2 linked regions of the Alligator mississippiensis genome follow. The protein of the gene in region 1 purifies or fractionates together with the protein of each later gene. This does not show direct contact. Links are inferred from orthologs where the notes say so. Each region holds a gene or a part of one and is shown on either strand. Other genes may lie near its edges.

Region 1 (15,232 bases):
AGGATTAGCCTAAATAACTAACATGACTGCATGTTTCTTTATTATCAGTAGCAGGCATAATGAGGCCTATAGTAAAAGCTGTTGTATATTAAATACAAAAACACTAATTCAAAACAAATTGTAAAGTCTGAAGGAGGAACACCCACACTGATTCCCATAGCAACATTTTTGCTCCCAAATATAGATACTGAAATGTTAAATCCCAAATGTGGAGACATTATTAATGCTGATATAAATACTTTATTGCATAGCCTGAAACTTCAAAGTTTCACTTACTTGCATTATGAAAGAGCAAATAAACCTTAGAGCAGAGCCAGAACCCCATTATGGTAAGCATTGAAGAAAAATATAGGAAGATAGTCCCTGTAAGAAGTTCAGCCTTTGAGCTGTTTATGGAAGAAAAGCATTTCTTCACTTAAACAGATGAGCAAGACTTCCTCAACTGTAAAGGCAGAAGGACCCTCCCCCCACCCTCAAAAAACCCCCAAAACCCCAATGTACTGTATATACAGGCATTTATACATACTAAGGAGGGGAAGGGTGATGCAAATAAGAGCTAAAATGAATCATGAATCACCTAGAAAGTAAAACTCCATTTTCAACTTTCTGAAAAGTTGTAATTGGAGTTCTGCAACCCAGCTACACCACCCATATTTATTTCTTAGCTTGTCAAATAGGGTGATCTGGGTAAGGTTCAGTTATCCTACTGACTCTTTTTTTTTCTTTAATATATGGGCTAGCTCAAAGCAAATTCCATTGTATTTGGGTTAAGTACTAAATAAGTCTTTATTCCTATCCAATTCAGCTAACCATACACTATAACAACCTTTATTTGCAAAGCCCCATTATTCCATTTTACCTTTATGTATTTGTAAGGGTAACTTTTAACTGGTATGGGTCAAAGCGTGAGGTTGCCCCACACAAGTGTTAATTGTTACAACACTGCCTTTCAGTGGGACTAAGGTGCAGAGTAAGATGCAGCTCAGTGTGATTAAGGGTGGCAAAAATAGACTCTTGGTTCTTACTCAGCAGAACTGCCATTGTCCTCAACTGGAGTTTGAAAAAGGAGTTCAGAACTTGGTCTTGTATCAGGATCACCTTCCTAAAGAAAATTCCTTAAGTGTCTAAACATAGGAACTTATAAAATACCCTCATCAGCTGCCACAGACTGATGCAGTATATTTTAATACTGACACCAGCATTTCAGGCTATAGATACAGTCAAGAGGCTCATACCCTCTGCTTCTAACCTTCCACAGCTATCTAAACAAAAAAGCCACATCCTGATGCAAGTGATCTGGGTGTGCATAGATTATTTCTACCCCAAAAGTGGCTCAAAAAGCCTAGCCCATTCCTTGAAAAATGGAACCCTGGAAAAACAAGATATTTAGAACTGCCTGGATTAGACACAAAGTTCAGTCCAAATTAAGGCTTCTGCTAGGCATTATACAAAATTTTAGCACCCCCCCGCCCCCTTGCATAGGACCAAATATATTAAAAAACAAACATTTGAATACTACAAATCCAAATGCATAAGAACAAAGGGATTAGTAAGAATACCACTGAGTACAAACATATGTTTTTATGTATCTTGTACCCAATCTGATCATGGAAAATGGAGCTCAGCTGTCAATTCAATTAAATTTATAGATGTATGAATTAACTCTTCATGGGCCAATATGTACCCATCAGCTACACAAGACCCCAGAACAGTGCATTATCTGAGTAAATGGTAATAGTACTCTTTCATATCTAATCCTTTAATGACTTGACTTAGTGATATAGACTAGTAAAAGTTTGCCAGAAAAAGGTAAGGACATTTTGCATACTCTGTCATCAGCTTTGCAATGTTCCAAATTAAGCCCACATTAGGAAGCACATGACTGAGGAAAGCTGCAAAACAGATAAGACCCAAAGCTAAATTAATCCTATTTCTGTCAAAATATGCACACAAATATTTTCTAACAGAATCCAAACCTAGAAGTTTAAAAACCTTCCCTGTGTGTGTGTGTGTTTCTTCTTCTCCATAGTCAAGACAAAGGGAGGATAAAGAATTCCTTGAACACCCATAAACTGGATTTTAATCAGCGAGTTGGACACACTGCTTTCAGAACTAGACCACAGAACTAAATTGCCACAAGGTAAGGATGTCCCATTTCACCTCCAGCATTTTAAAAAGTCTAGGACCAAGCTATCTTGGACTCAAGTTATTCAACAAGCCAGTGCAGTGTATTGCAACCTGTGGTGCTGGCACTGCTAGAATTCTTGTGTTCATTTCACTGTCATTTCAACTCATAAGTCAGTGGTTTATACCCAGGTTAGCACTATATACAGGCCTACAATTCAGCCATAAAATCAGAAAGGCTTCTTTAGATGCACTGGGCATGTCTACATGAGACACTTAATGCGCCATAGCCTAATAACATTTCCCAGTAGTGTGCCAGGCAAAAACCGTGCTAATACACTACTGTGCAGTAGTCTTAGGCTACTGTGCAGTAAGCATCACTAAAAACCCATGCGCCAGTGCTACTGCCCAGTAACTCTAGTTTACTGCACATTTAGTTAGTACTTCATTAAGCAAGCACTAAGTTAAATGTGCAGTAACTAATGGCAGACAAGATTCCTTGGGTGAATTTGATATCTTTTATTAGACCAACCCAAATAATTGGAGAATAGTTATTAAGCAAGCTTTCGGGTTCAAAAACCCTTTGTCAGGCTAAGGAAGAATGAATTCCATCCAGGAAGAGCACACCAACTGCTGAAGCTTCCTTAGCCCAAAGAAGGGTTTTTGAACCCGAAAGCTTGCTTAATAACTATTCTCCAACTATTTGGGTTGGTCTAATAAAAGATATCAAATTCACCCAAGGAATCTTGTCTGCCTATGTCCTTAGACCAACACGGCTACAACCTACACCCCTGCAGTAACTAATGCGCATTAATGAACATGTAGATGTGCCCATTCAGACCTCACGTAAATATGTTTAGCTTTTGCATTAAGAATTCTACTAGCCAGGCATGTGAAAATTGTCCATTAAGTGCCATATGCACAGTATATCTTATATACGCACACTTTTTCAAATACCTTTTTAATACAGAGTAAAGAAGTCACAGCATCTGAATATTTTACAAAATTAAGTGAAAAAATAATTTCTTGAAACAGAGCATATACTAGGCACTTCTCCAAAAATGAGTGAGATTTCCTTTTAGACAACCAGCATTTATCAACTAGAATGCATTCAGATAAAAGCCACACTAGAAATCGTGCAACACAACCTGTTTTACTGCAGTGCATGGGGAAATGGGGAAGGGGCACTTGATCCCCTGCCAAAGGTGGGTCACAGAATTCCAATTATAAGTCACTTAAGAAGTTACAGTATTCTTAATTAAGACTTCAGGGTGCATTGGCAGTAACAAAACAGAAGTCTAACTTTAGCATCGCTATGTGAAGCTGGCAGCACAGCAGACAAGTACTACCCAGCTCTAAAGTAGTCTTTTTTTTTTTTTTTAATGGGATTTCATTACTTTACACTTTGAACTGTGCACCCACATTGTGCAGCCCAAAAAATATCCTGAGTCCAAGGTATGGATCTAGCCCACCTCTACTTTGAGAGTGCTAGCTGATAAATGGCAATGTGCTCATGCATAATTATTATAAGCATCTTAACTATTAAAGAGTTCATGGATATTCAAAAGAAAACATTAGTTCTATGTTCTGTAAGGATAAGCATGTGAAAATAAATTGATAAATCTGTCTTTAAGCCAACATATTTGAATTATGGGTGACCAATGTCAGAATAACTTGAAAAATGTAAGCCATAATTAAGTTTGAATCTCAAGCTTTCCCAAGAGCTTTCTGTGGCATACAGCTACATATATAACTTTCACAATAAATCTCTTGTTCATAAGCTTTAAAGTGTTGTCAAACAGTTTGGCACAAAGACTGTCCTAAAAATCTTGGGCCTGCTACCAACAGATAGTTCACTGGGTCCTCCTTTTTGTTTTGGTTTAACTTCATACCTTACAATATTTGTAGGTGTTCCTTGCATATGATTAAAAAAAAAAAAAAAAAACACTTGAAAGACTGTCTGCTCATGAGCAGCCATTTAAATGTAACACGTTCATTTCTGATCCTACAGGCAGATCCCTGTACTTCTATGGACCTTCACTGAAGTCGCATCAACTTGCAGGATCCATAATTTAGTCATTTTAAGTTTGGTTTGTTTGTTGTTTTTTTTTTTTTTTTTCCTAAACTAGCCACAGCAGTAAGAGTACCCAGATTCTTTGTAATATGCAACACACTGAGCCTAAACTACAGCATACAGCAAAACTCTAGAAATTATATGGCATGGGGCAGCACAACAGGTGATGGCTTTACACTAATACTACAGCCTCTCTTATTCACAGAATAGGTAGGTTTTACAGCACATGCTATAAACCCCTCTCTACCTGGTGTGCTGCCTCAAATCAACTCTAAGCATTGCTACTTAACTTAATGACACCAGAAAGGAAAGAACTGAGAGACTTTGAGATGCTGCAGTCAGGGGACTGATAGTCAGCCCCCACAGCACAGGCTAGGAGCAGGAAGGTGCTTACATTGTAGGATACTTGGTCTGCAGGAGCATTCCCAGCTCACAAGAAATAAAGGTGTGCAAGAGAAGAGCAACAATACCTAGCCTCACTCTAAAGGAAATCTTAAGCCAGCCAACACGGAGCCTCCCCCCAACAGTGTTGGAATTCTGCAGCAAGGGCCTAGTCTGCAGATCTCCTCAGTGCTCTTTTACAGTACTAGTGCTGTTCAACACTCCAACAATTGCTTTTCCAAAGCCTCAAACTATCTGCAGGTTTTGTCCTTCTCCTCTCCTCAAACACTGCCTGGTTCTTTTTTCTTTTACAGAAGGCAGACTTGACCACTGAATACAGAAAGTCTTCCAGTTCTCAAACATAAAATGTATACCTATCAAGACTGTTTTGGTAACAAACTACCTCCAAGTAAGGTAGCTAACACGCATTGTGTCCAAGCAGTTAACAGGTTTGTTGTTCTTTTGCTTGTTTGTTTTTTCAAGCTTTTTACTTTAGCTGCAAAAATTCATTTGATATGAAAATTGTGTATGTATGATTACAAAAACATGGGCCAACTTTCCATGCCAAGTGGACATTTACAGCCTAATTAAAATGTGGTAACTTGTAAGAAATTCTATGACTTAATACTATGTTAATGATCCTGCACAGCATTTGTACGATTATACCTCCAAGTGGAAGCATAAAAACTGGATTGGAAAGAGAATACAAAACAGCTAGATACAAGATGAACCACTGTTGCTTTGAATCTACTCTGAATAATTTAGTATAAGACTTCCAAAAAGTACATAGCATCTGTCATGTCAATATTTGGCAAGGATTAATAAATTTAGTGTACACACATCCTTGTAGGATGTATAATTATCAATATATAGATTAAAGAACAAGATGTGCTGTTTGACCTAGGGCAGTGCCTATATTAAACTGTCTACATTAGAATTAGGAATGACTATATTAGAATTAGGAAAAAATCCAGATACTGCAGCTCAGTCTGCTGCCTTAAATACATGGATATTCTTATTAGGTGTTAAGCTTTATATTATTTTCTTTTCAACATGACACTATGTAATTGCACTCTTTTTCTGCTCAACAAAAAGTTTATGGAAAGAGCAATAGCTAATATCTGATGTATGCTTAGACACTAACAATAAAAAGGAGCCTTCCTTCACATATTTACTTCTCAAAAGAGGCTAGTAAGAATACTGATTAGGAGCATATGTCTTTATGTATCTTGTGCCTGATCTGATCATGATGTATCTGATATACAACACATACAAAATCCATGGTTTTTGGCTTCATCTGAACCAAGGCTGCCATGTTACAAGCTATTCAATTCTCACACGCATCCAAGATTACATGACAGGATGAAAAACAGAATACTTGTTGACTTCAGCATTCTGCTGGAAGAGAAAACAGAGGAAATGGGCTTTAGGGGAGGGACTATCTTTGTTCTATTAGCACAGAACAACAGGCTTCTGGCCCATGACTGTGGCGTCTAGGCACCAGAGTAATACAAATAATAAATAATGCACTTTGTACTATGCACAAAAAGCCTTGGCCTTCTTAGGTTTGGTCCTATGCTGTGTAGCTGCAATTTTTTCTATATTCTGTTTATTTTATGAGAAGGATGCTTTCTGTTGAAGTGAAAGACTTGTGAATCTTGTTTCAGCCAGCCTTGGAAGTGTTCCTTCCATTTTTCAAGGGGACTTTCTCCAAACAAAACCATGTACCAGGTTACTAAAACAGCTCTTTTCTTGCTCATCTCTGGAATAGCCTGGTCTTAGTGGTTTTTCCTCCACTTCAAACTCAAGGGCACTACATACTTTTTCTTTAATAAAGAGATCTGCATGTGTCAAAAATAGTTACCTGCCCATGCAGTATTATAGTCTCATCTATATTTCAGTTCTTCCTCTAAAATTCAAGCAAAACAACCAGCCTGAACACATCAAGACTGCACCCAGAGTTCAACTTCAATATGCAACACAATAGAGATGCATGGTAGTCTCCTTTGTGCATATGGACAGATCCAAGTGTTTCAGGTGAAAAGTAAATAAAGAGTTAATCCAAATGTGAATGGCTCCATTTCAGTAACAGCGTGAATAAACCCCCACAGAAGGCTTCATTGCTAGCTGCAAACTCCAGAGTCCAGATGAACCAGCAGGAAGAACACAGGGTGGATAATCCTGTAAAATTACCTCAGTGGAAATGTTGATAAATTCCCAATTACGAGACCTGCTCTAGGATGAAAAAAAAATGCAAGATACAATACAATTACCAGTCAATGCTTGCAAACCTTTGCAAGTAACAATTACCACAGGTATTCCTCAATCCCTTGAACTTTGTGCAACTGTCATCTATCACAGTGAAATCCTGTTAAATAAAATAACTCCCTGAAATATGGTAACCAAAGAGCTTCAACCATGATTATAAAGTATATATTTGCCTAAAAGTGACATGAAACTAATTTTCCACCTTTAGATTATTACACAAAAACACCTAAGTTTGCTTTATACATACTTCTCATATTGAAAGAATAATGCATTTCACTTAGGGATTACAATTCCTGTAAACATTATAGGTCAGGTAACCTATAAGAATCAGGTAGATTTTGAAGAAACAGGCTTTTAAGTGCGAGGCCAAACTAGCCTTTAAAAGCTTCAAACCCAGGTAGCTGGATGTACAGCAACTACTGTATCGGGCTTTTAAAAAGGCTTTAAAAAAAAAGCATAAAAACACTAGGTCTCGTACCCAGTTCAGAAGTGCTTACGCACCGCTCATTTGTGCCAGCGTGTGACAAAGGACGGCAATCCCCTCCCTCCCCGCAACTTCTCAATTACGGGAGTAACCAGAGGCACGCGAGCTTCGTCCCCGGACGGAGCAGAGCGCCCGACATCGCTCCCGCTCCCAAAGAGGCGCACGCCGCCCTGCCCGAGACGCACCGAACAAAGTTGTTTTTTTGGCAGGAGCCCAAGGGCCGCACGTCCGGATCCCTCTCTGTTTATCCCTGCATGCGTGTGTCCCCCGGTCTCGGCGGCCCAGTCGCTTACCTGCGTGTCACCGCGAGCCCGCCCCCCCGGCTGCCTGCATTGGACGGCAGCGCCGTCACTCCCGCTCACCACCGCTCTCCCTTTCTATTTCTCACCCAGGCAGAAAGCACTGGCGGTCGCTGCTGTGGCCTTCTCCTCCTCCTCCTCCTCGCCAGCTAGGCCTCGGCTCCAGCAGCCAGCGCCAGTGCAAGCTTCTCCCGGGGCAGGAGACAGTTCCCGTCGAGGCCCCGGTTTTGTTCACTCCTCGCCTCTAGCTCATACATACATACATAAACAGATATATATTTTTAAAAGATGCATCCTTTTTCCAGCTGTCGGGGGGCAATCTGGGAGAGGGACAATTAGCAGACGGATGTCATTTCCCCGGGTCGTGGCGTGTCCCCACAGGCACCCCCCCCCCTGCACCCCGTTTCTCATCAGTGTGCCCCCCCCCTCGCCTAGCTGCCTTCGCCACCGGGTCAGCACCCCGCCATCGCACCCCAATATCCAAGCTCAGGACGGCGATAAATACATCGCCCCTCCCCCCCCTCCATGAGGGCCGCCCCCTCCCACGGGGTGGGGGGCGCGGCCCCCCCCCCGGCTCCCGCCCGTACCTGTGGCTGCAGCATCCCCGTCCCCCCGCCGCCCTCGCTCCGCCGCCTGCCTGGCTCTTTGTTTCCTGCCGCGGGCCGGACGGGAGAGCGGCTCCCCCCAGCCTCCGCCTCCTCCTCCTCACACTCATTGAAAGCAAACAAGCATCATGGCGGCGGCTGCGGGCGCCCCCCGCACCCCCTCCCCCCGCCCCGTGGCCCCGCCCCCGCCCGCGCGCCATTGGCCAGCGCGACCCACGTGACGCCGCCGCGACCGTTGCGGCCGTTGGGCTCCTCAGGCGGTGTCAGGCCTGGTGGCGCGGCGCAGCGAAGTGGAGGTACGTGTCGGGGAGCTGCAGGAGGGAGCGCGCGGGGAGGTCTGCGGGGCTCTGCCGGCGGTGGGGGGCATCGGCCCGGCCAGCCCCACGCTTTGCTCCGAGTCTTACTCGTCCTCCCCCCGGTGCCGGCCTCCCTCGTCCCTGCAGCGCGCTGGTGTGAAGAGGGGTTAGCTATCTCCTTGACTGGGGCACCCTCGCTCCGTCTCCTGTGCGCCGCGGCGGGGAAGGGAGACCTTTCTTTTAATTATTATTATTATTAAAATATATTTCCATAGAGAGAGAGAGAGAAGGCGTCGTGTATGTACATCTTCTGGCTGAAACTTTCCATCATGCCTCTTAAAACCGCAGCGTTTAAATTTGCCCGTGGGAAGGTGGACCTGTCCGTCCATCTGTCTGTCACTTGCTCGCGACCTCGCCCGTGCGTCTGGGGCGGTCGGGATGCGGCGCGCCGTCCGCTTGGGCCCGTTGAGATGTGCCCGGGTCCGGTTAAGGCCGGGGCAGGCAGTTATTTTGGGCGGGGGGCTGCTTACCGATTTTTAGCAAGCCGTCGAGGTCCCGCGTGACGGGCAGCCGGGGGCAGGTCGATATTAATTTTCTATATTTTTTAGGGGCCCGCGGGCTGGATAGACTGGGCTGGCGGGCCGCATCCGGCCCCCGGGATCGCGTTTTGCCCACCCTGCATTAAGGCGAGAGTTAATCGTCGTGTTTAAGCAAGAAGTTCGCAGATGTTCTGTTCTCCTTCATTACGAGGAGCTCTTCTCAAAAAGAAACGAGCGCTCACTGTCTGTACTCGAGGCTGTCCAACGCCGTTATAAGATCCTGTTTTTAACTCGGCGCGTTGTAACCGTTCGAGCTGACGTGCGTCATGCTGGGCGTCCGTTACAGGCTAAAAATGGGTTTTGATAAGTGTCAGTGCAAACGGTTCAGTCAGGTTAAGGAGGGGGGAAATCGGTCCACACTGAAAAATTCGTACGGCTGTTCTTGCGAAGCTTCAATGCTTTGGTGATTGGAGGCCATGCAAGAGACGTGACATGGAGGGTGCCTTTGGTTACCTTTGCTTTTCCCCTGAGTAAACTCTCAAATTTGGTCTAGGTATAAGCCTGTGAAAACGTGTTTCCAGGTGCGCAGGGGAAACTCGTTTGGCTTCCGAATTCTTCAGCATCTACCATTGGGCGGATCGGAGCCAGATGAAATTCAACACCGAGAAGTGTAAAGTGCTGGATCCACCTGGGGACGAACAGCCCCCCAACACACCGGCAGGCTCGGTGACGCCAAACGACTGAAAGGGAGCTGGGGGTAATAACAGACCATAGTACGAACATGAGCCGTCAGCGCGATGCTGTAGCCAGTAGGGCAGATAATACTCTGGCGTGCATCGATCTATGCATCTCCAGCAAAACCGAGGAAGTGATTTTTCCGCTTTCCGCGGCATTGGCGAGACCGCAGCTGGAGTACTGCGTCCAGTTCTGGGTGCCGCACTTCAACGAGGATGTGGAAAAGCTTGAGAGAGAGACTCCAGAGACGAGCCAGCCATACAATCAGAGGCTTGCAAGGCAAGCCACATGAGGAAAGGCTGAGGGACTTGGGCCTCTTCAGCCTATAAAAGAGAAGGCTAAGAGGGGACCTTGTAGCAGCTTACTGCTACATCAGGGGAGTACGTTGAGGGCTCGGCAAGCAACTGTTCACCAGGGCACCCTTGGGGAGAACCAGGAGTAATGGCCACAAACTCCTGGAAGACTGTTTCAGGCTTAACACTAGGAAAAACTTCTTCACAGTTAGGGTATCCAGACAGTGGAATAAACTCCCTCCAGAGGTGGTGCAATCACCTACCCTGGAAATCTTCAAGAGGAACCTGCACAGTCACCTTGCTGGGGTCACCTGACCCCCAGTTATCTTTCTTACCTAGTACAGGGGGCTGGACCTGATGATCTTGCAAGGTCCCTTCCAGCCCTTAACAATCCATGAATTGGTGAGCAGGCTCCAGCCCTTCACAGCTCCTGTATACGAACTGGATTGCATGAGCACCATCCAGCAAGAGTGTGGGAGCATGCTCTGGCTGAGGCTGCATGGTCTGCAGTCTCCTGCAGATGACTCGTTGGTGCCCAGTCAGCGTGGAGGGAGAGGAGGAGCAGCTTGACTGGAATGCAGAGTAATGAGTGGGGTGGGGAAGGAAAGGGGGAATAAGCAGGAGCAGAGAAGATAAGGACCCTGGAAAGGCTTGTGGGAAACTGGAGGGTGGGGGTGAGCACAAGATCATTTGTAACCACTGTAGTGTATTTTTGTGCACAAACTGGATTGGACCCCCAGAGTCCTTTGCAGTTAAGTAGATGGCTGTGAAACCCACTGGCTGAATGTATGTTTCATCACCCTCTAGTGGCAGGTCCACATAGAGCAGAGGTGGGCAAAATGCAGCCTGCCAGCCAGACCTGACCCACCATCCAGTCCATGGCTACCCAGCAATTGTACCCCACCCAGCCCACATGGTTCACCCCCATTCTCATGCCTAGGAGGGCCCTGGCCCTGGCCAGCTCGCACAACTTCTAGGCAGGGCCAGTGCTGCAGCCACCGGGGGACCTGCTTGGCTTCCCCGGCCTCCAGCAACTTCTCGTATCCCTGCTGCAGCACTTGCACCACGGAACAGGTAGGGAAGCAGCAGTGGGCAGAGGAAAGCTGCAGCTCAGTGGGAGCATGGGGCTGGAGCTGGCAGGAGTGTGGAGCCTGCACCCAGCAGGCAGCAGGAACTTGGGTGGATAGGGTATGGGTGAGGGTGGGAGGGCGTGGGGACCTCTCCAGGTGCCCCCTTCCCATGCCTGCCCCCACTGCTAGCAGTATTAGGTGGCAAGCCCTCGGGGTGCTCATTGTCAAGGGGTGAGGCTACTCTTGCAGCCCTTGACAGCTTGCTAGAACTCATTAAGCGGCCCTCCAGCTGAAATAATTGCCTACCCCTGACCTAGAGGATAACAGCCTTCTGTTGCTTCTGGTTACTTTGTTAGCACAACTGGCAGATACCCGAGTTATGGAACTAGTCCCAACCCTGCTAATGATCCAAGTTAAGGCCTTGTCAATATGATTCTGCATGATTAAAACTTTCATTTTGCTCATTTGCAAATGCTGTGAATTGCATCAAATTATTAAAAACAAACAAACAAAAGTGTGTTCCATTGATTTTTGTGAAGTCAAGTCTCAAGACTTACTGCCAGAATTCAGATTACTTATTTAGGGTTCAGTTGTGTATAGGCTTGGTGGGATTTGATTTTTAATGATAAACCTTGATAAAAGTTGATTTCACTTCTTGCACGCTGATGAAAGAATATTTCCATTGTTAATAATCAAAATTTATAGAAGGGGGACATAAGGAAAATGCTGGCTGATGGTGTGTGAGACAACAGGGTGAGCAGTCCTACAACACTTCTGACTCATTTGGACTGTAACTCCCAGAAACCCCAGGGGACTGGGAGCAAAGGAAGAGGAAGTGACAAAGCAGACAAGGGAGCTACAGGCAAGCCAAGCCAGGACTGATGGTAGCTCTGTTATTCAGCAGAGAACAGTCCTACAGTAATGTTTGTTGTGGTGGGCAGGTAAATCGCACTATAATAATAGTATACTGCCATTAATAAATTGTCTGTTCCCCACATCCCTAATTTCTCATGGTCCTGAAAATTTAAATAGATAAAAATTGAAGCAAATGCTTGAAAATAAACATTGATGCTATCCATCAAAATCATAAAAAAATTCTGCCAAGCCTAGTTGTATATTACATTTTTGTAGTACTCCTACTTCTTAGTGCACAGGATGGAGCTTGCTTTGAGAGTGATTCATGGTTGAATTAGGCCATTGTCTGTAGGAGCATTTAATTGCTGATGCTTTCTAGTACATCTGATACTACAGCATCAAAGCAATTAGTCTAGGGCTTGTCTATACTACGAAGCTCCTGTTGCTTTAGTTACGCTGGGATAGCTATGTCAGCAGCATGCCCCCTCCCCCCAGTGTAGATGTAGCATACACCAACAAAAGGAGGTTTTCTGCTGGTGTAGTTAACCTCCTTCACAATACAAGCTAGCCATCAAATAACACTCTTCTACTGGCAGAGCTACATCCATACCAGAGGTTTTGCAGCTGTGTCAGCTAAGAGGTTTGATTTTTTTTTTTTTTTTCTTTCTTCTTCTTCTTTGTACCAATAGGCTACATAGCTCTACTGACAAATTTGTAGTGTGGGCCTGACCCTAAAAGCACTCATTCTTCCCCACTATAAAGCCACACATGAGGATCAGCAAGAAACTGGTTTCGAATTGCATTAAATATACTGGAGTATTTCTGCGTTGTGTTTTCTGGCTACTAATTATCACCCCAGTCCCCTGCTAGATTTTTTTTTTTTTTTTCCCTCAGGGTTCACTGTCCAGCTCTTCCTAACTCTTCAAAGAGGCAACCATTTTGATAGGCTGAAATCAAGACAATAATATGGAAGCAAAGCTCAGAGCACTAAGAAAGGAGAGCGGGACTGGTTCTTGGCGAGAGTTGGTACATATGTGAGCTCAGTGGGAGAACAGTAGTCATTAAGCTTTTGCATTTGGTGGACTTCAGCTTATAGTTTCACATTTTGGAGATAAAATTGCTGCTTGTTTATTAAATCAGGAATGATATTTGAATGTGCAGTCTTGGCTTTCCATTTTCCAAAGTTTCACAGTTTTAATATCAAATAAAAGCTCCAACTAAATATGTTGAATGGCTCCATAAATGTTTGTGTACTGGCGAACTGTGGCCACACCTATCAAACCTCTTTGGCATGTTTGTTTTTTGGTGTTTCTATGCAGTACTGGCTTCTTGAACCCTTAGAAAATAGTGAAGACCAAATTAAGGCCTAAAGTAAGCAAGCACACTCCTACTAAAGTCACTGCAAGTTAAATTTGCACATGCCAGGGCTTAGCTTGACTGTGTGTGTAGGCCCCATATGTCCACCGACCTGATGCTTTGTGGCCTTGTTTGTATATTCTGTTGGCTTTCCATTGATATTAAGTGTGTTAATAAGACTGTATTTCAGTTAAGTATTTTTAAGTGATTCTAATATATTATGTTGACTCTGATAGTAATCTAAGATGGATATTCAGCCCCAGTACTGCAGAAGTACTTTAGGCACAAACTCTTGAACAGCACCTTTACTTCATAGGGGAGATGCTGTTAAGAGTAAAAAGCCTTGGGCAGCACTAAGCGAAGAAGGAACTGAGACTGATGCTCAGGCTGGGAAGCAAATTGTACAGTAAGGAAATAGGTTTATGAACCATGCTATTTGCACCTGCAGTTTAGCAAATGGGTATTTTATCTTTAATAACACCTTTTGCAGCCCCATTTGGCTAAATATAACCCTAGAGTGTGGAAAAACTGAAATATTTGTTAAGATTCATATTAAGCATTGAATCATTTGGATAACTTTGTATAGCTTTGCATTCACCCAGCTACTGCTTTTATTTGGCAGCTCAAAATCACTTAAAGTTTGGTTAGATTGTCATTACAGAATCTTGCCATATGTTGCTAAAGACCTGGAATTTGCACAGTGCTGTTAACAGTCACAGAGGTTTTATCACTTTATTTTTTTTAAATATAACATACAGAGTAATGGATGGGGGCACTTTTAAAAACCCAAATAAAGTTTTGTTGCTTTATCACTTTCTTAGTTAAGTACCCTCAGGCAAGACACCTAACCAATCTTAGCTGCATTCTTCTAACCTTTTAAAATGCTTCAACACAGAGTGCTTATATAAGTGCTAAATATTACTAAGTTTGTCTGGCCGTGATAATTTTCCAAATAGAATGTGGAATGAAAAGACTTTTAACATCACAAGGGGGGAGTTTTAACAACATGCCATGGTACCTGTTCAGAGACGTCTTTTCTATCTCTCGTCTTTGTGTCCATATTTGCACTCTTTTTTGATCCGCTATAATGCTAATCTCTATTCACTCTCTCATTCAGTGCTTTCCTTTAATAATAGGAAAAATACTAGCAACCTGATCCCATCTGTCTCTACCGTATAACATTTTCCCCTTAGGTGACTCAGGATGTATGATCTTGATGTATTTCATATAACGGATGTATGATCTTGATGTATTTCATATAACGGCTAGGAAGTTCCAGTGTGCAAAAGGACCAAGATGACAAACTTCTTATCAATGGGTAAATTCCTTCTACTGGAGGATTTACTTGGGGACGGTAAAAAGCATGTATTTTTTCTTAATGAGAGAGCCACCACAATTCTATTTAACATCCTGTCTCCAGAGTAATTCTCCATTGTGAAAGCTTCCCAGCCCTTAATGTCATTGGCTTCTTCAAATTGTTAAAGCTTTTTTTTCTAAACCAAAAACATTTGGGGATTTAAACACGTTGAAATATCTCAGGCTGCGTTCCTGTTACATCTGAAACTAAGCAGGACTGGGCCAGGCTGGTACTTGAATGAGAGCTCTCCAAGGAAACCTTTATGCTGGGGAAATGATGTTGGTGATTTAGGGGGTGATGCTTTTCCTCTCGCTGACCACTGAAATCCTGGAATGCTATGCTGCAAGAGACCCTGTCTTTGAGGAAATGTGCGTGCGTTAAACCAGGTGTACTCCGCTAGTTCTCACTTGGGGTCTGATCTGATTCCCAGCAAAGTCAAAGAAGCTTCTCTCTGCTTAAATTTCTCCCTGCTGTTTCATTGCTTTTTACAGTTCTC
Region 2 (15,328 bases), on another chromosome or scaffold:
ACCACTTCCTGATCCTGCTGTTCTCCAAGGATGAGGACATCTCTCTGACTCTTAACATGAATGAGTGAGCATCCTTCCCCCACACTTTGCAGCCTTGCTTAGTGCCCCAGCCAGGATCTGTCTGCTCCTGCTGCTTTTACCTTGTTTATGGCAGGAAGCTTCAGCCTTTCATCAGTCTTAGAGGACCCTGACTGCTTGGTCCAAGAGCCTAGTGATCCTCACCCATATGGCTCTGATTCACAGACTCTTTCAGAGCTGCTTGGGGAGTGGCCTTTTGATGTGTGGAGGCTAGAAGAAAGGAGTGGACACCCCTCTCCCCCCCTTTACTTTGGTGTAATATACTATAATCCTATGTGGGAATCCTATTCTGGGAAAACCTCAGTAAAATATATTGGTGTAGATGTCTTGTGTCCTCAGCTATCCCAGCGTAGCAGTTGGTTCAATGCAAACTGGCTGTGGCATCCTTCCCTGACACCTTGTGGTGAGGCACTGTAATAATGCTTACTGCAGCATCTGTCCAGAGATCACTTATAGTCTGTGGTCTAGACACTAGTGGCATTTTATATTGGTGTTAACGTGCCTTATGTCCAGGACATCATTCTTTTGGTGTTCTGGGAGCAGATGTGGTTGTCTTATTTCCCCTAGTCTTCTTGCTAGTCCTGCTTTTACCATGTGCAGAGGCCTCTTTGTGATCTGATCTCTCTGTTGGTACAAAATCTCCTGGGCCTCTGGGTGTCTGTGGGTTCAGACTTATCTCTCTTCTTACTGCTGACTTTCTGTTCTGCCCCTTAGGGAGGAGGTGGAGAAGCGATTTGAGGGCCGGCTCACGAAAAATATGTCCGGCTCCCTGTACGAGATGGTCAGCCGGGTCATGAAAGCGCTAGTGAACCGCAAGATCACTGTACCTGGCAACTTCCAGGGGTGAGGCATAGTGTGTGCTGGGGGGTGGGTGTTGGACCCTGCAGCAGGAAAACCCAGTGTTTTGGGGCATGGGGAATGGGATGTTAGGCTTTGCCTGACTGAGACTGACTCTGGTCTGGCCCCAGAGTAGGGGGGCTGCTTAGCATAAGAGGACAGGGAATGGTCTGTATAGCTTCTTTCTAGGGGGTATTGGTTTCAGTTTGTTCCAGGTCAGGTGGGACTGACTGGTTCTGAGGCAGGGGCAGGCAATTATTTCAGGCGGAGAACTGCTTATCGATTTTTAGCAAGCTGTCGAGGGCCGCATGGGTAGCCCCGCCCCTTGATAGGTACCCTGCCCCTGGGTCTTGGGACTGGAAGTCCCGCCCTCTAAGCTCTGACCTTTGCCACCAGAAGTCCCTCCCCATGTTCCCAGAAGTACTCCTTTCAGCGAGGGGTTTTGCCATCTTGGAACCAGAAAAATACCAAATTATATTCTAAAAAGCAAACATCTACAACATCCATTAATTTGATTTCAAAAAACATTTTTGCCTTGATTTACATGTGTTTGTGTGGTGTGCATAGAGGTGATTGCACAATAGTTTAAATTGAAGTCTCACACTTGTATATTGTGGAGGGGGGTGTAGGTTTGTTGGGGGCTGTGGGCATGGGGGTGTGGATATATGGGGTGTGGGTGGGTATGGGGTTCTTGGGTGGGGGACTGTGTGGAGGGAGGGTGGCTGGGGTTTGTGTATGGCAGTGTGAAGGGGGTGTGTGGGGATAGGGAGAGTCCCACATGCACACTCTGCCCCTGCCTACACGTGTGCATGCACCCGCACACTGCCCCTGCCAACATGCAGGCACACATCCCCGTACCACCGGGGCCCTGTGCTCCCCAGTCTGGCCATGAAGCCAGGAGCACCATGTGGTGCTAGAGCAGGGTGAGGGCAGGAAGTGGGGAAATAGCTGGGGGTGGGTGTGGCTGGGCTCCTGCCTCCTGCTGCCAGCTCTCCCTGGGTTCTCCTGCCCAGTGCCTGTTGTCTTTGACAGGCAGCCAGGAGCAGATAAATATTTTCTAAATATTTTAGGGGGTCCCGCGGGCTAGATTTTGCCTGCTCTTGCTCTGAGAAGACTCAGAGCTGCCCCCGTGGGAGAGATTTCAATGGTCCATAAGCTGCTCTGCCCAAGACAGTGGTACTAAACTCTCTCTTCTCGCATTGTGACACAGAGCTGCCTGTGAGAAGGGTTTCAAATATGATAGGGGAGGGCTTCTGCCTCACAGTGCCAAGAGCTGAGGCTTCTTATCTTGATATGGCTGACCATGTTAGTGTTTGGGGAGAGTGGGGATTGCCCCTGTATGACTGGACTGTGGGCAAGTGCCTGCACATGGACCCTTTATGTGTATAACCCAGCTGTGTGTTCCCTCCCTGGCCCGCACAGGCACTCAGGGGCCCAGTGCATCACCTGCTCCTACAAGGCCAGCTCAGGGCTGCTGTACCCACTGGAGCGTGGGTTCATCTACGTGCACAAGCCCCCTGTGCACATCCGCTTTGACGAGATCTCCTTTGTCAACTTTGCCCGTGGGACCACTACCACCCGCTCCTTTGACTTTGAGATTGAGACCAAGCAGGCCACACAGTACACCTTCAGCAGCATAGAACGGTAAGCATCCCTACCTCTGTCCCAGCATCCGTTCATCTTTCACCCACCACTGCATGTGGTACATCTTCAGGAGCATAGAGAGGTGATTGTGCTTCACCCAAATGCTGACTGATTGCTTAGATCCTATAGGTGCACAAGCAGCCGTCCTCTTCCATTCCCTCACAGCTTCCCCCCCCCCCCCCCCAGCTCCCTGGGTGATTCATTACTGATGTTCCATGCCTCCTGGGTTGGGCTCCTCTCCCTTGCCACAGTGCCGTCCTCCCCCAGGTATTTGGCTGTGCCCCACATATACTGTGGGCCTGCCAGTGGTGTGTTGGTTGGGTGAGTGTTGGGCCTGGCCTTCTTGTGACTGCTGTTTGGTCCTGCAGGGAAGAGTATGGGAAGCTTTTTGACTTTGTCAATGCCAAGAAGCTGAACATCAAGAACCGAGGACACAAGGAGGTACTGGCAGGGTGGGGGCAGGGATGGCAGGGTTGGCCTGGCCCCCCTTTCCCACTACTGCTCTGGAATTGCTCCCCGACTGGCCAGGGGTGCGTGGGGGAGGGGCTGGGCTGGGCCAGGGCTTCTTTCTTCTGCTCCAGATTCGGCCTCTATTTCATTTTCTCTTCTTTCCTTGCCCTTGTAGAAGAAAAAGGTCCGTCCGATTCCCCTCTTCTTCCTCCTCCTCCTCCTCCTGGTGCAGGTTTCCTGTGCATGGCTGTGGTGATCCCTACTAACCCCCATAACCATGCATGAGCCATAAGAGGGAAGGGGGGGGCTGTTGCTCCCTGCTTTTCCCCTTGAGTGGGCTTCACTTACCCCAGTTCACACCACTGGTGTTCCCCGCACCGTCCCCAGAGCGAGGGGCACGCTGGACGTGTGCTGACCTTCGTCTGTGGACTGCATGCCGCCTCTGCTCAGAGTGCTGGGGCCACCATGTGTGGAGTTGACTCCTAGGGTCAGGGCAGTGCCCAGGAGCATGCTGGGAGTTGTAGTTCTAGGTTCTCCGCATGCTAGGGTGGGGAGGAGAGTGTCTGTCTGCCCCTCTTTGAGGGTGGGAAAGGGGAAAGGGTGGAGAGCAGCACTCACTGCTTCCCCATGGTGCTCCAGGACATCAAGCAGAGCTACGATGAATATGCTGATTCAGATGAGGACCAGCATGACGCCTACCTGGAGAGGATGAAGGAAGAGGGCAAGATCCGTGAGGAGAATGCCAATGACAGCAGCGATGAGTCTGGGGAAGAGACAGGTGAGGGCCCTGCCTTCGGGTAGGGTGGGATAGGTGGGGCAGGAGCAGCATTGGTGCTGACTGTTTCCTAGTGCTCCTCTCCTTGCAGCTGAGAGCTCTCCCTAGCTGAGACCTGGGAGATTCTGCCTCCTTGCGGTGGGTGGTTGGGGCTATTGACTCAGTCTCAGTGGTGCGGAGTGGGGAGGTCCTGTCTCCTTTATTTGGTCCTTTCCCAGACTCCTGAGAGCTTCCACTGCTGGGTGACTGCTGTGTACCTCCTGCCTAGCCTGCCATGACCCCCAGCAGTCAGACTGACTTGTATGCTTTTTCTTCCAGATGAGTCATTCAACCCTGGGGAGGAGGATGATGATGTGGCAGAGGAGTGAGTAGGGGCTGGGGGGGGGGGGGGGGGCTGTTCCTATTTCTGGGTGGATGGGTAGGTGGGTGTCCCTTGATACGCTCTTGGCATGGCCTAAGTGGTGCTACCAGTGCCAGCCTGGCTGTGGTGGTTGAGGGTGCTATGGCTTGGCATAGGTGCCTACCCCTCACAGTGCCCACCAGTTCTAGATCCCTGGCTTAGTGGTAGGAGGGAATCTTGACAGGGGATGCTGTCAGTGCCATCTTCTCTAGGAGATGTGAGACTGACCTGCTTGCCCCTCTGCTGGGGCTTTTCACAGGAGTTGCGGGGAATATTAAGCAAAGCAGCACCTGAGCAATGTGGCTTGGCTAACTAGTGAGGCTCCAGTTGGATTCTTCACTTTCTGCCCCCATTGTAGCACTGCCACAAGCAAGGAAGCAGCTACTATCTTTCCCCTCTGATCTGGCTGCATTTCTGTAGCAGGTTCTGTCTGCATCTAAAGTTCTTGAGCTAGCTACCTATAAGTTCTTTGGGGGAAGGTGCCTAACACCCTGGGACAAGGGCTCTGATGTTCTGTGCCCATCCCAGGCACTGCGATGAGGTATGAGGTTTGGTCTTTCCTCTTGTCTTTGGTCAGGCTCTGTGCTTCAGAATGGTCTTTTGATGAGAGCTGATGTTCTTAGATTGTACCTTGGCCAGAGGGATTCCTGAGAGAGCAGGAAAACAGGCCAAGGGGCTTGCTCTTTGAGGTCACCACTCACTTGGGAGTCCCTCAAGGGGGAAAGATGAGGGGAGGGTACAGGGCCCTATTGGAGAATTGCAGAACCAGAACAAGACATTACAGCTTGTTCCCAGGGACAGGCTAGGCCCTGGCTTCTCTCTGGGTAAGGGCTGGCTTCTGTGTAAAATGCATCTACCCCTATAGCTAAGGTCTCAGAGGTGGCCTCTTTATGTCATGCCCCCAGATAACCTTCATTTTTGTCCTCGCTAAAGCACCTTCTTGGAGTTTGCGATCCCTGCCCCCAGTAACTCTTCTGGGCATGGGGCTGATTCCCAGCTGATGCTTCCTCCTGCAGATTCAACAGCCATCCCTCAGCCAGCTCCTCTAGTGGTGATGGTGACAGTGACCGTGACGAGAAGAAACCAGCCAAGAAGGCCAAGATTGTCAGGGAGCGCAAACCTCGCAAGAAACAGTTGGAGGTGAGGGCTGTGCCCAGGCAAGGGGAGAAACGAGATGGGGTTGGATGCAGTGGTCCCCAGTGCTTTCTACAACCAAGCAACATCCTCTGTCCTGGGAGGATGAGTGTCAGCTTCACTCCTCACTAGCTTGCCTTGCTCCTGCCCTGCAGGGATCCTCTGTTGGCACGTGAAGACCCAGGTCTTCATGCTACTGACGTGGCCAGTGAGTACCCTGAGCTCTGGGAAGCTGGTCTGACACTCCTGCTCCCCCTGACCTGACTTCCCACAAGGCAGTGACCAGTCTGTAGAGGGGGTGACTTTGACTTAGACTCTGCTTGTGGCCCACTTGCCAAGCCCAGGATAGCTCTGTAGCCTCCCTCCACCCCTGCCAGTCCAGTTCTGTCAGCTCAGTGTATCATCTGAGCCCTAATAGCAATTTTCTGTCCAGGTAGAGCTCCATCAGGAATAATTCCCCTCCAAAGGGCTTGTGTTGCTGGGGCCCAGTGGATGTCCTGGCTGTGGGAGGGGGTGTCCCACTCTAGCCATGCTGTTAATGGGGCTTGAGTGGGGAATGACCTCAGCCCTTGCTATGAGGAGGTCCTCTGAGCCCATGAGCTCTAAGGGGATCTCATGCTGCTTCTCTCTCTTTCCCCTTCTCCCTCCCTTGCTGCCCCCTTCCACTGTCCCAGGGTAAGAAAAGCAAGGACCCCGATGCCCCTAAGCGGCCAATGTCTGCCTACATGCTCTGGCTAAATGCTAGTCGTGAGAAGATAAAATCAGACCACCCTGGCATCAGCATCACTGACTTGTCCAAGAAGGCTGGGGAGCTCTGGAAGGCCATGTCCAGGGAGAAGAAAGAGGTAAAGGACTGGGAGGAGCTGTGGTAGCATGTTTGAATTGTTAGGGTAGTGTGGGTGTGACGGGGCTGCCAGGATGGTGTTGGTAGGTCTGTGCTTGGGGGATGCCATCCTCTGGCCCTTAGGATGGTTGGGTGGCTTGCTGAGTTGTGAGATTGCCAGTTGGGGGTGGGATGGTGTATGGTGCAGGAGTAGCAGCATGTTGGGTGGGGGGCAGGGGTGGAATTGCTGTTGTGGGTTTGTGACTGACGCTTTGCACTTCCAACAGGTGTGGGAACGCAAGGCAGAAGATGCCAAGAGAGACTATGAGAAGGCCATGAAAGAATACAGTGTTGGGGGCAAATCAGAGAGCTCCAGGACGTGAGTGCACCAGCCTTTGGGGAACCCAGGGGGGAGGGTGGGAGTGATAAGGAGTCATGTCTCCTTTTGGAGGACCCATTCTGCCCGGGGAAGGTGAGCGAGATTGTGGTGAATGACTTCTGTTCCCTCCCATTATGGTGGAGCCTGGGCACTTCCCCAGGGTGGGGTGAGCAAGTCCCCCATGGCTCTACCATCCCAGAGGCAGGGACCCAGGTGGTGGCTGTGGGTAACCTCTGTGCCCGGTGGCTCTCTTGTATTTAGGGAGAAGTCAAAAAAGAAGAAGAAGAAGCAGGAGAAACAGGTGAAGGGGAAAGTGGAGAAGAAGGGGGTGTCTTCCAAGTCTCCATCTTCGAAGTCCCCAGTCAAGCCCACCACTGAAAGCTTCAAGAGCAAGGAGTTTGTCTCCAGTGATGAAAGCTCCTCAGGCGAGAGCAAGAAGGAGGTAGGTGCAGCACTGCCTTCCATGGGTGGGGGGCCCCATCCTCCAGCTGGCTGCTGTACCCATGGCTCTTGCATGTGTCACCGGCTGACTCTCTCTTTTCATGCATTCCCCCAGGACTCGGAGGAGGAGGAGATTGCCAGCACACCCCCCAGCTCAGAGGACTCAGCATCTGGCTCAGATTAGAGAACCTACCCCTGCCCTCCCTTCAGCCCTGCCCCTTGAGCCAATGGCACTCTTCTTAGGTCAGCAGGGCAAGGCCCAGTCCTCTGCACCCAGGTTTCCCGTCATCCAACTGGGAGGACTGGAGGGGTGGGTGTCATACTGAGGTCTACACCATTGGCTAGAACCAGACCTTGGCTCTGCTCCTTCCCTGATGCCTCTGCCCTGGCCCCAGCCACCTCCTGCTGTGTCCTGCTCCCTGAGCTCTACCATCCTTCACAGCTCCTGCTGGTGAGGGTTTAGGAAGCACACACTTCCTTTCTTTGCATGTCACTGAAGGTTACTTGGGGGGTCCTTTGTGTGATAGGCTGTGAAGAGTGTGGTGGGGGAGTGTTGGGGAGGTGGCTGCAAGGGCTCCTAGGCCCCTCGCTTTCTTGCCCTATCAGTGTTTTTATGTTCCGATTTGTTTCTTTTTTTTGTATTTCTGGGCTGCCACATGGGTTGAATTAAAAATCAAGTGTCTTTGGACAGAGCTTCTTTGTGGGTAAACAAAGAGGGATGGAATGAGTGGGGACACAGACAAAGAGCTGTGTCTGCCCAAGAGAGATCTACACCCTCACCCATAGGGGACCTGCCAGGTTTGCTTGTGCCAGGTGCATATCTCTGGCACTTCGGTGCGTGTGTGACACTCCCCACAATGCTGAGTTGGGGCCAGAGCCTTATCTTACTGCCTTCCATTAAGACTGCTGGCCCCTGCAGGTGGCTGCAGCAGCCCTAATTGTGTTAAAGGGCCATCTAGCCTTTTCAGAGCAGCCTAATGGAGGCAGGCAGTCAATAGAGAGCAGTCTTAAGATGAGCTTGGGGGCTCTGCCCTAACTCCCAGGAGGGAGGGGCAGACTACCATCTGGTACCACTGCCACTTTCAAGGAGGACTTAAATCAGCCACCCCTGCTGCAGACAGGTGGAATCAGGAGCTCAGCTCTGCCCTACCATGCAGGAGGCATAAGGAGGAGGCTACATCTTGCCATTTCTGCCCTTCCCCATCTCCCGGCGATTTAGTGTCATTTTCTACTCCACCTTTGGGCCTGTAGCTCTTATCCTCTTAATCAGTAACAGCCAGGAGAGGAGGGGGAGAAGCTCTGTAAAGTGGATCAGCAGATGGATGGGTCTACTTCCATTACAGCTCTCTCCCCACTACGTTCCTGCCAAGGCGTGCTAATCTGACCTGGGGAATGCGTCCTGATCAGATTAGTGCCTATTACCGGACCTCAGTACTCCATTAGAGGAGCTACAGGAGACCTTCCGGCTCCATTTCCCATCACCTGTGACGCAGAGCTGCTTCTCTGTCTTCTTTAATTGAATCAGTGCTGAGCTGTCTTGCTGAGAACTGTCTTTGGAGCTCTTGGAGAGGGGGAAGAGAGCTGTGCCTGGTGAGGGGGAGGGGAGGTGGAATGTGCTAGGCAGCCTGGGGCCCTTCCGAGCCAGCCAGCCGGAGGTTAATATTTGTGCAGATGGAGGATGCCCTGCTTATGAAATTCCCTAGGCTCCCATTTCCATCAGCTTAGTTTTCTGGAGGTTATTTACTGGAACCTCCCAGTTGCCAGCAGTTAATTGGGAAGGAGATGCGCTAATGGCAGCTAAAGCAACTCCTCCATCCAGGCAGCATGCACCTGTCTTTATACTGGTCCTGTGAGCCAGATAAAGCACTGGGGGCTCTCCCTCACTTTGCAGGGGGTGCTGCCTCCTTTCTGGGTGCAGAAGGAAGGAGTACAGGGTGGTGTTGGGTAACATACAGAAGTTGTGGGGAGGGCTGCTCAACACTGGTGTGATAGTGGGTGGCTGTTGGGAGAGGGGGCATGTTGAAGAGAAGGTTTTGCATCCAGTGTACTGAGAAGTGCTTGCCCCAGCTTCCGTTGTTTGTCGCTGCAGCTCGGGCAGGCTTTGGGGAGCAGGACAGGGAGAGCTGTGGACGGCGGGGGTGATTGTGTGGAGGGGTGCAAGAGTGGAGGGGCTTCACCTGAACTAGCTTTAGAGCTCCAGCACCACGATCCTGCTTGCCCTCCAGAGGGGGCCCCAGGGAAGGCGGGCTGCAAGGGCCATCTAGTCCCGTCCTGCCCTCGAGGTAGGGTCATCCCTAAGTAAGTTGAAGGGAGGCTGTCTCCCAGGCAGGGGTTGAGAAGCCGGGGTGTAAATTTTGGGTTTAAAATTCCTAACGCACTGGTTAAAGCGTGCCGCACCAGGTTTAGCTGCTCAAGCTGTGCGGGACGGGCCCTGGGCGCGGGGGGGCGACACGCGAGGAGCGCCCCTGGGCACGACGGAGCTACAGCCCTAGCTCCTGCATGGTCGGAGCCCCCCGCCGGGGGGGGCTGCAGGCGCCTGGACCTGGGGCAGCCGCGGGGCCGCTCTAGCCGCCCTCAATGGCACAGCGGAGCCCCGCCCCCCTCCCGCGGCTTGCGCAGCCGGCCCGCCATGACATGTTGGCGACACGTGAGCGGGGCGGGGCTACGGGCGGCAGCCGCGCGCCTCATGCATATGCAGCAGGGGCGGGCGGGGCTCATGAATATGCAGGGTGGAGGACGCGGGCGGTGCGGCGCGGAGCTTAGCGGGTGAGCGGCGGGGGTGCGGGACCCCGTGCGTGCCCGCCCGCCCGGCCGGCTGGCCGGGGCGGCGGGGTGCCGCGGGGCTGAGGCCGGGGGCGGCGCGGGGGGGGGCCTACGCGTGCGGCTGCGCGCGCAGGCGGGTGCGGGCCCCAGGCCCGGGCCGGGGCGGGGCCGCCCCGGGTGTGATCCGCGCGCCCCTGGGCCCTTGGGGCACAGGCTGGTGCCAAGGCGGGCGGGAGGGCGCTGCGGTGCGGTGCGGTGCAGTGCACACAGCGCGCCCCTTGCCAGGTTTTCTGGGGCTGGGGAGGCGGAGGAATGTTCCTGTTCCTGCCTCCGGGGCTTGGCTCCTTGTAGCTGCGTTGCAACCCCACCATGCCAAGTCATGAGACAAACACTTAAAAAAAAAATCAAGAGATTGGCATGTAAATCATGCGATGCTATTTTTGAAGTGTGTGCGTGTGTCAGGGGTTGTTTACGAAGGAGCTGGGGGATGAGGGTGGGGGGCCCTGCCTGTACTAGCAGGATGTGGGGTACTGTGGGTCAGGAGTGAGGGGCAGCAGCAAGGCTGGGGGGGCTGTGGCTTGGGAGTGAGGGACACACACACGGACACAGACACACACACACACGGACACACAGAGGGACAGCACCCAGCTGGTAAGTGGAGGGGAAGGGGCTTTGATCTGGCCCCTGTAGTGAGAGAAGGAGTGAGGCAGGGGCTGGGATAAATGTGGCCCCAGAGCCAGGGCAGGTCATCCAGGGGTGGGGGGCAGCTACCCACAGCTGTGCACACCCCCGGGGAGGCATGGAGTTCATGTGCCCCCCACGAGGCAGAGAGAGGCTGCAGGCTCAGAGCTCTGTGCCTTGGTGCCTTTGCCCCAGGAGCTCAGCCACACAGTGCCAGTATGTTTCCTGTTGTCAGGGGACATGCTGCGCGGCCAGTGCGCCCCATTAACCCCAGCTCCTACCCCACTCCCTCCCTCACCATAGGGGCCTCGATCTGCCCCCACTTCCTTTCCCCTCCACAAACTTACCAGCTGGGTGCACTCTATGCGCCAGTAGAAAAGTCCTGTGATTTGAGGGTTATATCCTGAGATCATGAGTTAGCGTTAATTTGATTTGGAAATCGGGAATCTCACAACTGTTTTGTGAGAGTTGGCATTGCTGCTGTAGTGATGGCACCACTAAGCCTTGATGCTTGGGCTTGCCCCACTCGGTCTCTCAGTCCCTAGAGCTGGTTTCACTCAGTTTCCTTTTGATTGTGGCTCCCAACTACCTTCCACCAAGCTGCTAGTGAGCTGTTCCTTTCTGGGGCAGGAGCAGAAGGCTCCATCTCTTTGCCTTTGCCCTTCTACTACAGGTGAACTTTTGGCTCCTAGTCATTGTATCTGAGGGTTCTTGCTCTAATATTCCTGGTCTGATGCTACACGCTATTCGTCCTCTGCTGGGAGTCCCCTGCTCTCGACCCTGGAGATAGCTGGGGCTTTCTTCTCATTTCGCCTTGGTTCCCTTATGCCCACTTCTCAGGGTGACCTGAGCGCTGATGGTAGCAACAGGCATGTGGTAGAGTCAGGCCTGTGCTGTAGTCTGCTGCTGGTTATAGCTCTGTTGGTCAGAAGGTGAAGAGTTGTGGTCCCTGACCAATACAGCTAGGCAACTGAAATGTCTAGCATAGACGCAAAGAAATTAAAAACTCTAGAACTCTTGGTTCAGAGATGATACCTTTTATAAGACTAAGACATTGCAAAAAAATTATCTTTTTTTGCAAGCATTTGGGCACATGTACCCTTTTTCAAGCTGAGGGAAGATGGTAAAAGTCCCCATAGGTAGAAAATAAACTTGCAAAGTTTTGCATTTCTTTTTGTCTCAGACCAGCACAGCTACCAAATACATCCTTGTAGCATAGACACAGGCATGCTGGCTTGGTCTTTTGGGAGACTGCATCCCTTTGGGGATGGTATAAACTCTTCTGGCAGAAGTGATCTTTTGTAGATAGGAAGGAGGTTGCTGACAGCAAAGCTTTTTCCAGCATAGACCAGGCCTGTGTCTGTACCAGGAGCACCCTGCTGCTACAGGGATGCTAGTGGGCTTTGCTGTGCTGTCTGTGTTCTTAGTGTGGACGTGGACAGCCTAGTAAAGTGGTGTTTTGTACTGATGTAACAATCCTTGTTCCATCAAAACCAGCTGTGCTAGTGAAAACAGGCTTTGGCTAATACTATGGCTCTTGATGCCCCTGGGCCAACACCTGTAGCATGGGCCTGGCCTGAATGAACTCATGAGAAGGATGACTGTCCCCCACCAAGAGCCTCTCTTACGCCCACGGCCTTCTCTCCTGTCAAGGTATCTTTTGGCCTGATCTGTCCCCCTCTTCCTAGAGCCCTTTGCTAGGAGATGTGCTCTGCCCCTGCCCCTTATATTCCCCCTCTTCTGAGTTCCTGGTTCCCCTCTCTCTTCAGAGGTCTGGATCCACTCTCTATGTTCCCACCTGGGTAGAAAATGCTGCCTGGCTTCCCTTCAGCTCAGCCTTTCCTGCCTTGAGCCCCTTTTCCAGGGACTGCCCAGCCCAGGAAACATAAATCAGCTCTTCTCCACTTGTCCCCCTTGATCTGCCTTCTCAGGATGCCCCCCATTGTGACCCCCTCTCCCTCTCTGCTATCTCTGGGGCCATCTGGCAGGTCTTTCATCTTGCCTAATTCTCTTCCCACTTGGTTCTGCACCTGGGGACAGAATGTGCTCTAATTGAATGGTGCTGTGCCGCACTTGGCTGCATCTAGCACTTGGCTGAGAGAGAGTGCCTGGGGACATGGCTGGAGAGATGCTCTGTGGGACAAATACTCGGGCATGCTTTCCTGATGGGGGCTGGCAGGGTGAGTTCAGGGGCATGTGTGGGGTTCCCCCAGTGGAGAGGGGGTAAGGTTTAGGAAGGACAGACTCCTTCCAGGAATGCCTTTATTGGACAATGCACCCCTCGGCAGGCTTTAGGAGAGGCCATATTTGGACCCTGGTCCTGGCTCAGAGTAGTCTGATGGTCCATAGTCTGTAGAATGACTGAGACTCACTCACTCATCTGTGAGATTGTACTACAGCTTTGCACGTCACTGGGGGTGACTAAGTCAGAAGCCCAGGTGATGCCAGAAGAGGGAGACTGGGCAGTGCCCAGCCAATGCTTTCTCAGTGGTGGGGAAAAGCAGGAGGAGTTATTGGAGGAAAGCCTGAGAATATAAGTTCTGAACTTGTGGAGCAAGAAGGGATATGGACATTATGGGGAGGGGGGGGCAGGGGGGGGGTGAAGCGTGGGTGGAAGGTAAGGATGTTGGCACCCGTGGGACAGATGAATTGGGTTATGGGGAGGGGACCCAGTGCAGAGGGAAGGACAGATACTGGTGCAGTTTTGAGGTGAGTCAGTGTCAGGAGGGGGCACAGTGTGGTTGGATATTCAGTGGCTTTTGGCACTACAGGCAGGGCTGTGTTGGGGTTTATGGAGGGGTCATAGTATGGATGGAGAGTTGGGGTATCAGCACCACTGGGGGACAAATTGGGGTCTAGGGAGGGGATGCAGTGTAGAAGGAGTGTCTACATATTGGGATAGGGGGTGTGCATCGGGGAAAGGGGGGGAACAGTGATTGGGGCAGTGTGTGGGGTAGGAGGTGTAGGGCACAAGGTGGGGGGGGTAAGATAGAAGGGGGTCATTGGGTCCTGCTCATGGCTCAATTCCCTACAGCCTGCCCCATGCTTTATGCAGTTGCTTTCTTGGCCCCTGCCTTGGCACTTTGCTGGCCTGGGAGTGGTCATGCCCTAGTAGCTGTGCAGGAGGAGGGGGGTGGGCTGAGCCTGGGGTCAGGGGAGACTCCGAGATGGTGTCCAGTCTTGGCTGTGCTAGGACACGCTCTCTGCTTGGCCACGATCTGGCCCTCTCCCGAAATCTAGTGGGAGGGTGTTGCCACAGCAACGGGACCAGGCCCTGGCTTTACCTCATTGAATTCCAGCACTGCGCCAAGTGATTGGGAAATGGAAGAGCTGGGGGGGAGTGTGGGATTGGGGGGGATGTCTTCCAGATGTGCCCTCCCCAGCTCTGTTTATCCGGGTTTGGACTGTGCAGCCGTGATGTCAGTTCCCTGGAGACTGGGTGGGGGGGGACCGTTCCCATAGCTCTGCAGGGGCAGGCAAGGGAGAGAGTGACAGGCAAGAGAAGGGGTTGGTGGGGGAGAAAGTGGGGCAGGGGAGGAGGAGAGAGGAAGGGAGGGGGCATGGAAGGGAAGGGCAGCACAGGAGGGGGAAAGGGTATGGAAGGGAGGAGTGGGGCAGGAGGAGGGGGCAGAACGGAAGGGCGGGCAAAGAAAGGAGTGAGGCAGGCGGGGAGGGGAAGGGTCATGGAATGGGGAGGATGGAGGGGCAGGGCAACAGGAGGCAGTGTGGTGGAGAAGGGGCAGCAAAGGGAGGAGCGTGGAGGGGCAGAACGGGGAGTGCAGCAAGGCGGAGGGAGGGGAAGGCAGGGGGAATGGGGTAAAAGAGGGTGTGGAAAGGGAGGAAGGTTGGGGGAGGGGGAAGGGAGGAGAGGGCAGGGCCAGACAAGGCACAGGCCCGCTGGGCTTGCAAAGCTAAGCCGAGCGGGTTTTTCCCGTCCCTGCAGCGTGAGTCACAGGAGCTTGTGCGAGACACCAGCTCTCTCCCTGCTCCAGCTCCCTCCCTCCCTCCCTGCTCCAGCTCCCGCTCCTTTTCTGTGCCTGTCCTGCTCAGGGCCTCTGACATTGCTGTGCTGTCCAAGCTCAGAGATGAGGCAGCTGCAGGGAAGGTGAGCCACATGGGGAAGGAAGGCATGCAATGGTGGGATCAAAAGGGGTGGCATCTGGTACCGGAAGGGAAAGAGTCTGGGGAAGTTGGGCATAGTGCGTGCGTGTTAGCACAGTGTATGGAGGAGGGGAGGGGAGGAACTGGGGGGCTGGCACTGTGCATAGGGCAGTTGTGAGTTGTGCATGGACTTGGGGTCCTGGAAGGTTGGGGTGCAGATAGGGCTATGTGGTGTTGGAGCTGAGGGGAGCTGGCTCTGATGGTAAGAGGCAGAACCCATGCCGTCCAGCTGGGTCTCAGCTGCTTCCCTTGCTGTGGGGCAAGGTGAACTGGGGGCAGGGTTGATACAAAGATGGGGCTGCAGGGTGCAGCTCTGGAAAGGGGTCTTTTCAGGAGGAGCTGGGGGGGAACTGACCAGCTAGGTGTGAGGGGACCAAATTCTGAGGGGTCTGCTGGGAAATCCTGTAGGGAGGCACTGTAGGGAGTGCATGTCCTGTAGGGAGGCACTACCTGTTCCTTTCCTGTCTCGTCATCCTGTAACATCCCTCTCCTCTCTATAGGGGCTGACGCATGCACTGCATCCATCAAGACTCAATTCCAGCTTCCACCATGGCCTTCCAGCCTCAGCCCCTGCACCCTCCATTTCCCTGCACCCCCTCCAATGGCAGTAGGGATGATGGGGCTGGGCAGCTGTCTGGTGGCCCTGAGTCAGGTCTGTGCTCTGGGGAAGAGGAGCTGAGTGGAGGTGGGATGTTTGGGCTTGGAGGGAGGGGTGGCAGAGTTCCTAATATTTCCCTGGAGCGAGAGGTGGGGAAAAGGTGG

Evidence for each region.
Region 2: the proteins of CNOT6 (region 1) and TNKS1BP1 purify together in Homo sapiens (affinity purification with mass spectrometry; 3 studies listed by BioGRID and IntAct, with this or other methods). This does not show direct contact. The link is inferred for Alligator mississippiensis from reciprocal best matches to the Homo sapiens genes CNOT6 and TNKS1BP1.

Annotation. Positions count from the first base shown.
Region 1 is NC_081832.1:73,959,848-73,975,079, reverse strand, and holds the start of CNOT6 (CCR4-NOT transcription complex subunit 6), read right to left. Parts: upstream 8,339-15,232; 5' UTR 8,218-8,338; intron 4,244-8,217; exon of another isoform or gene 4,136-4,243; intron 2,141-4,135; exon of another isoform or gene 2,030-2,140; intron 1-2,029. UniProt on the Homo sapiens protein: Poly(A) nuclease with 3'-5' RNase activity.
Region 2 is NC_081825.1:172,865,229-172,880,556, forward strand, and holds the start of TNKS1BP1 (182 kDa tankyrase-1-binding protein), read left to right. Parts: upstream 1-9,623; 5' UTR 9,624-9,727; intron 9,728-14,348; exon of another isoform or gene 14,349-14,510; intron 14,511-15,066; 5' UTR 15,067-15,076; coding exon 15,077-15,218; intron 15,219-15,328. Other genes in the region: FACT complex subunit SSRP1, read left to right, coding at 1-64, 793-921, 2,338-2,559, 2,928-3,000, 3,649-3,787, 4,103-4,148, 5,201-5,324, 5,993-6,163 and 3 more.